Callithrix jacchus: one gene and its partner. The protein of the gene in region 2 interacts with the protein of the main gene of each other region in a biochemical or structural test. Links are inferred from orthologs where the notes say so. Each region holds a gene or a part of one and is shown on either strand. Other genes may lie near its edges.

Region 1 (2,562 bases), on a different chromosome or scaffold from region 2:
GGAAGGAACAATTTTCCCATTTATACCTTCCTAGAACATTCAGGGAGGGCTCCAGAAAAGTCATCTGTGAGCCAGGTCTTGAAGGAAGAGTAAAAGCCACCAGGTAAATAGTCAAAGAAGGAGCCCTACAGGCTAGGGCTCAGAGATGTAGGTAAGGCCAGGTAAGTGAGGGGTTCAGGAAACTAGGCATGAGTGACGAAAAAAGGAAATAAAGAAGGAATAACGAATGAGCAGAAGGACTCCAAGCACAAACCCATAACTCTACTACGGAAATTAAAGGCTAAAAAGGAGGGTGGGAGGGAGGGCCTCAGATATGGGTCCCTGCCACTTCCTCAATCAGGCCATGGGGCTCAAATACAAAAGCCAGAGCTTCACAGCTGTGAGCTAATTTCTCTAAGACACCAAATTATCAAGAACCCCTTTTCAGAAGCTAAGAATTTGTATGAATAATGCAGTTCTAAATGTGAAAGTCCCTAATGTTTTCATTTTTCTCAGATGAATTGATTATGCCTAGGAAGTAATTTAACTTCCTTCAGGATATGAGATGGGGCATAGAATCTCTGAGGGGGGCCGGGCGCGGTGGCTCAAGCCTGTAATCCCAGCACTTTGGGAGGCCGAGGCGGGTGGATCACGAGGTCAAGAGATCGAGACCATGCTGGTCAACATGGTGAAACCCCGTCTCTACTAAAAATACAAAAAATTAGCTGGGCATGGTGGCGTGTGCCTGTAATCCCAGCTACTCAGGAGGCTGAGGCAGGAGAATTGCCTGAACCCAGGAGGCGGAGGTTGCGGTGAGCCGAGATCGCACCATTGCACTCCAGCCTGGGTAACAAGAGCAAAACTCTGTCTCAAAAAAAAAGAATCTCAGAGGGGAAGGTGGGTTAGTGTTTAGGCCTTGCAGCCATCTCACAAAATAATGGTAAGATAATGATTAAAATGTCTATTTCCTTTTGCAAATTATATTGATATATCAACATAAAGCTCAAAAATATATATGCTGACATACCCCGTCTTATTATTCCTGTCTCCTCCATTTATTTCTTTCATACCCGTCTGTATTTTAATATGCTTAAATAAAAAAATAGAACCTTTTAAACTTTTCATTTTAATATTTTTCTACTTGTTTTACATTTTTTCATTTGTCAATTTTTATGTAACTGTTTTAAGTTTATATTTTAGAATCTTTAATTAAATATTTTAAATTTTCATTTAAATCTCCTGAATTGAACTTATGTAAAGTTCTTATTTCACAAGCATTTTCTTCCTACTTTTTTTCAATTTTTGTCTTTAAACAAATTTTGTCTTTTTGTCTCGAATTATTTTAAACTTTCCTCCTTTAAAACTTTTCTCTAAAATTTGAATTGCATTCCATTCTGTATTTTTGAAAATTTATTTCTTAATCATTACAGTAATAATTTTGTTAACTTTTTAAATATGCATATTTTATGCTTTAATTTTGACATATCTATTTATATTATTTTCCTTCATTTGAAACTTTTAAGTTTTAAGATGTTCCTTTTTTCTCGTTAATTTTTAACAGTATTTTTTTCATTTTTTGGTAAACTTTTATTTTTAACCTTGTTCCTTGTTTAATCTATTTTACATTTTTAAACTTTAAGAATTTCTTAATTTCATTTGCTTTTAATTTTTAAAATTCTGAAACTTCTTTAAATTAAAAAATTATTTTTAATTTTTAAAATATTTTTTAAAAATATCAACTCAAATTTTTTCAACATTTAAAAATTTTTTCAAACTTTATAAATGATTTTTTTTCCTTTTTAAATGTTTTTCTTTTAAAGCTTTTTAAATTTTATTTTAAAATAGTATTTTTCTTTCAAACTATTTGGCTGGCCAGCCACAGCTGGAACACCAATTGTGAAGTTTTTGCTGATAAAGGAATACTTTGACTTCACATGGTATTTCTGTAGAAACAAATGACATATAGTAGCATCAGAACACCTCTACTCCTTTTCTCCCCACCTAAGGCATTCTTTTCATTTGATTATGCTTTATGAGACCATTTTCAACCTCTTCTCCCTCTCCTCATTTCTGAAGGTTGAAAGGTCACTGGTTAGTATTCATTTTTTCCTTCCTACATACCCATGAGCCATGCTAAAACAGGTTCTTTACATCAAGATACTACCTGTCATAAAGGTGTTATTATCGTTGTCCATTCCAAGTAGGTTTGTGTGTCACTTCAAATACTTGCCTAATCATTTACTTTTTTTTCAGTAAGTGGTCTGGTAAAACTAGTCTTTCTCTAGGCCCTGTTTGTGATAGAACAGTAAATACCCTTCACTGTAGAGTAAGTCCTCAATGGTAGCCTTGGTGATGATGGCATCATCACAGCTGAACCACTGGTCCTTTTGTTGCCGGATAAAGCTGGTATAGTGGCCACTTTCCAAAGTTCCATGGTGATTAATCACTGCAAACAAGGAATACTTATTCTCATTGGGCACACAATCTGTTGGTGGCTGGCCTTCTTTCATTCTGCTCTCTTTAGTAGAGGCCAAAAATGGAGTCATATCAAGCTCCAAGGGAAAGGAGATAAAGGTATTAATC
Region 2 (4,589 bases):
TTCAGTTGAAAGGTTTGAAGACATTATTAATGAATATCCTAAAATTCCAGAAGGTGGTTAAATTTTAACCTAATAAAAAAAAATCCTGCCATAGAGGTGGCAAAAATTATAAGCATAAATTTATTGAGCACCTACTATGAGCTAGGTGATTTACTAGTTATTTCCAATACTCTGGCCACTTTTCCGTTTTCTCAATTTCTCTATCAATAAACTCCTACATTGTTAATTTATATTACTTGAAATACAGATCAGCTCATTTATTCCATAAAGTTGGTCCCAAGGACGTTTCCTTATTCTAAGGAGGTGGGAAGCAGGAAGAGAAACCTAAATCTACATTCTACTGAATACTGAAGACGACTTTCTTGATATTTGTGGTATTATCTGCATGGTCTTTCAGAAATCCCCAAACTTACACCAAGGACTTAAGATAAAATCAGCAATCTATCGGGCTCAGAGACCACATCTGTCAGCTGTTGTTTCTTGCCTGAAATATCGTCCTGAACGGCGATGACCCCTCATTTAGGAAGGAAATCATGGCCTGTGAATACCTTAGCTCTGAGTCCTGCCACCCAGGATCCCAGGGGTCTACGAGAGGAGGAGGGAGGAGAGCGAGGACCGGGTGGGGGAGGCCGAGGTGACAGCAGGTGAGAGCCGGGTGCGGATGGGGAAGTGAGACAGGCACCGTGTGGGTATTACTCATTCCGCTCTGCTAACGAGGCTGCTGGCAAGCGGAACTTCTCGCCTCTTTTTCAGTCCAGCTGAACTTCAATCTCATTGAAGTCAATTCCCATCACGGTTCGCTCGCAGGGAAACCGTGCGTCCCTAAGGGAAGGGAGTCCGGGCTGCGTGGGTCAGGTAGCCTGTCTCCGGGCGCCGCGTGTCCTCGGCGTCCCCAAACCTGCCCTTCCCCTCATCAAGGGAAGTCCCCGGGGAGTCCAGACCACGTTCCCTTTCCTTGGCCCCGGGGTGAGCGGAGCAGACACGCGAGGCGTGGGACTGATGGCAGCCCTACCTCCAGGAAGCAGGCAGGCGGGGACCTCGGGGCGCTGGAAGGGGCAGCTCCGAGGGCACAGGATCCACGGGAAAAGCTGCCAGATCCCTCCCTGCCCCGGGAAGCGGGTGTGGTCAGCGCGGAGGCAGGACGCCGCGGAGCCTCCAACTTTACCTTTCCAACTGCGACAGCCCGTGGCCCTTCAGACCACGTCCCCACGGTTTCCCAACACCCGCCTCTCCCTCGCCCCACCACACCTGAGGAAAACTTTTCCCTCGCCCCTCAATTCAAACTCAGCAGTGCCCACGGTTGCCGCAAACTGCCCGGTCCTTAGCAACAAGGTTCCGGCCGTAGAGCGAGCGCCTCTAGGTGTAAGGAAGGTGATGTCGTAAAGCCGCGAGTGTCGTAAACCAGGTGCGGTGGGGAGGGGGGAGGGGTGGAGGCGGAGGGGTGGGGGGGAAGGGGGAGGGAGGGGGAGGAGGTGACTCGAGCATTTAGACACAAGCGAGAGGATCATGGCGGATGGCCCCAGGTGTAAGCGCAGAAAGCAGGCGAACCCGCGGCGCAATAACGGTAAGTGGCGGAGGGGACCGGGGAGCGGCGGAGTCAGGGGGAGCCGGGTAGCCGGGGCGCCCCCGGAGGTGAGGGGGGCGAGCCGAGCTGGGGGCGGCCGGGGCAGGGACGGCAAAGTGGAGTGGGAAAGTAGAAAGTAGTGCTCTCTGCCCCCCTCCGCTGCCGACGCTGCCGGAGCCGCGCCGCGGCCGCTCGCTCTCCCTGAACCGTTATGTCTCTTACCTGGTCTCTCTCCGCCTAGCGGCTCCCGCCGCCCCTGCCGCCTCCCTGGACCGTTAGCCGCCGCCGCCGCCGCCGCCGCATCCCCGGCGCAGGGCGGGCGGCCGGGACGCGCCGGCCACTTTTCTGGTCCCGGGTGGAGCGGCTGTTGCTTCTTTCCTCACTTTTCCCCACTCTTGTGCCCTTCGGCGCCTCCCTCTCCCCCTCCTCCCGGCCCCCTCAGTGGGATTCTCCCTCAGCGCCCAGGCCCCCGGGAGCCGCGGAACAAACTTGTGCCCGGCGCTGACCGTGCAAAGTGGCTTCCGCGCGCCGCGGCCCCGGCCGGCGCCTTCGCTCGGGCCCCGCCACTCGGGCCGGGTTGTGGGCGCGCGGCGGGCGGTGGCGGGACGGGGCGGCCACGGGCTGCGTGGGGTCTGTGCGCGCGTGTGCGCGGGCGCCGGCGGTGCGCGCCGCGGGCTGACGGGGCTCGGCCGGCGGCGGTAAAGTTGGGACCGGCGGGCCGGGCGCGCTCGCGGAACGGGGATTAGAGGCGCGGGGGCGCGGGTCCCTAAGCGCCCCTCCTCCCCGGCGCCTCCCGCCGCCCGGCCCAGCGCCCCGGCCTGGGGACTCTGCGGCGACCCCCACGAGTGGGGTACATGTTTGGCGGGGCGGCGCGGGGACAGGACAGGCAGTGCACCCAGTTAACGCCGCCAGGAGCTGCGCGGATGGCGGCGAGCTGGGCGGCGGGTGTGTTTGCGGAGTTGTTACCTGGTTAGGGACAGGGAAGCACCACAGACAGATCCCCCTCCCCGGGCAGACGCGGTCTCCGCCCCAGGATGGGCTGGTGTGCGTGCGCCTCGAGCTTTTCTCTTTCGGTTTTTGGGGAAGTTGTTACCTGGGCCGGACGCACGGAGCGCTGAAGCCGGATAATAGGGCTTGGATGGCGCTCTGGGTCTCGGGTGGAAGGAGGGTGGGGGAGGGGGCGGACGGACCGACGGACGCGCGGGGCTGCTGCTCGCGCGGCAGCTGCGGTGTTTATTGATTTGTGCTGCTGTGCCAGGGAAACACACCCCTCTGCCTGGCGTGAGAGTTAAAAAAAAAAAAAAAAAAGCGAGGGAGAGAGAGACAGCCCGAGGGATCGAGAACCGAACATGTGGTGGTGGTTGCACAGTCGCCTTTTCCAGTTTGGAGAGACGTTGTAAGTTGATTGTATTTCTGTTTATCTGGGGGCGATGCTGTGCTTTCTCTCCCTCTCGTGCAGCAGCGAAATGTCTGCTGATTGTTATTGTCTGGACAGTTCCTGTGGCGAGAGGGGCGAGACTTGTCCGCCCGGGGGCGGCGGGAGCTCCGGGAGAGCAGCCCCCGCCTGCGCCGCCCCGGTACCTGTTTGTATAATAATGGGCGGCAAACGGCCCTGCAGCCGGCCGCAGCCCAGGCTATATAAGGAATTACACGTACATTTCGGACCGAGGGGCTCGCTTCGGTTCCTGCGTTCTTTTTAAAACGACTTGTAAGAGAAGGGGAATAAATGCGTCTATAATGGGACCGCTGCAGCGTCGAGAAAACGAGGAAATAACGTGTTTAGGAGAAAACTCTCTCCTGCTCACCCCCACCCCGCCCCACCCCCGCGCCTGAGCTCCCTTTCTCCCTCCCCTCTGGGATGCGAAACGCGAGGTTTTGTAACCTTTCCTAGCAATTTTAGATTTTGTGTGGGATTTCCTGTCTAGAAGCAGATACGAAGATTTTAAAGCTGTTTCAAGACGTTTCCTTCCAATTCGTAAACATATTTTTAATATATTCGAGCCGACATTAAAATTACTGCTTTTATGAGTGATTTTAATTATTCATATAAACACTTGCATTTTAAAGACGTCTATTGATTATGATCGAAAGGTATTTTGGTATCCTCATTGTGGAGAGATGAGTTATTATAGCAAGGAGTGGAGCATAGGCTATTGCAATTTTAATTTCCTGTTTTAGCGTCAAATAGTGTGTGTTCTATATTGAGCTTTTACCGCTCTTGCTGATGTGGCTTTATGAAAGGTAAGTTGATTCGGAAAGGACTGTTCGCTTTTTACCTTATTTAAAATGTTGATCGCCAGAGAAAGGGGCTTTTCTTGTTGCTGACGACATGTGTGTGACATGTGAGTCTGAACCACCCAGTGTCTGTGCAGCTGCTGTAAACATGTTTACCTGAACAGGAAAGAATGGATTTTTCTCCTTAAGATCCTGTGATATGAATATTACGCTCGTAAGGCATATCAACAGATGACTTAAGGGGGAAAAGCGATCCTGAAAGGTACTTGAAATCAACAGGAAAGAGAGGTTCTTGATCGCTGCAGCAAATGGCAACTTGTGCAGGTAGAAAAAAGATGGTGTTTAGTTTTCTCCTGCATGTATGTCAGCCCCCTCCTGTCTGCTGCTTTCATTCTCCAGGGAGGGATTTATTTACCACGCTTTCTGTCAGTGTTTTTCCTTTGTGTTTAATATTAGAAAAACAGATTTGCGGCTGTTTAGCACAAAACGTCTTGTCTGCAGTATGCATTACTCTCAGAAAACAAAAGGTGTTAAAGATAGCACTGTACTACTACAGGTATCTTCCATTTTCATCACTTTTGGCTCTGTCCTTGTATTTCTTTTTGTTCTCAAATGTATTTCATCCATTGCTGGTGATTATAGCCATGCTATTTGATTTAGCCTTATATTTTGCAAATTAAAAATGAAGTTATATTCCATTGTGTTGTGAAACCTCGGTATATCTGCTGGTTAATATTTCTTAGCAATGCAGTCATATTTAAGTTGCAGATGTTTATTGGAAGGAATTACC

What was found.
Region 1: the proteins of ZEB1 (region 2) and USP51 form a complex in vitro, tested with the Homo sapiens proteins (2 studies listed by BioGRID). The link is inferred for Callithrix jacchus from reciprocal best matches to the Homo sapiens genes ZEB1 and USP51.

The regions. Positions count from the first base shown.
Region 1 is NC_133524.1:55,843,165-55,845,726, forward strand, and holds part of USP51 (ubiquitin carboxyl-terminal hydrolase 51), read right to left. Parts: coding exon 2,250-2,562; 3' UTR 1-2,249.
Region 2 is NC_133508.1:31,108,517-31,113,105, forward strand, and holds the start of ZEB1 (zinc finger E-box-binding homeobox 1), read left to right. Parts: upstream 1-1,487; 5' UTR 1,488-1,506; coding exon 1,507-1,564; exon of another isoform or gene 1,565-3,798; coding exon of another isoform or gene 3,799-3,805; intron 3,806-3,908; exon of another isoform or gene 3,909-4,107; coding exon of another isoform or gene 4,108-4,123; intron 4,124-4,247; exon of another isoform or gene 4,248-4,355; intron 4,356-4,589. UniProt on the Homo sapiens protein: Acts as a transcriptional repressor. Inhibits interleukin-2 (IL-2) gene expression. Enhances or represses the promoter activity of the ATP1A1 gene depending on the quantity of cDNA and on the cell type.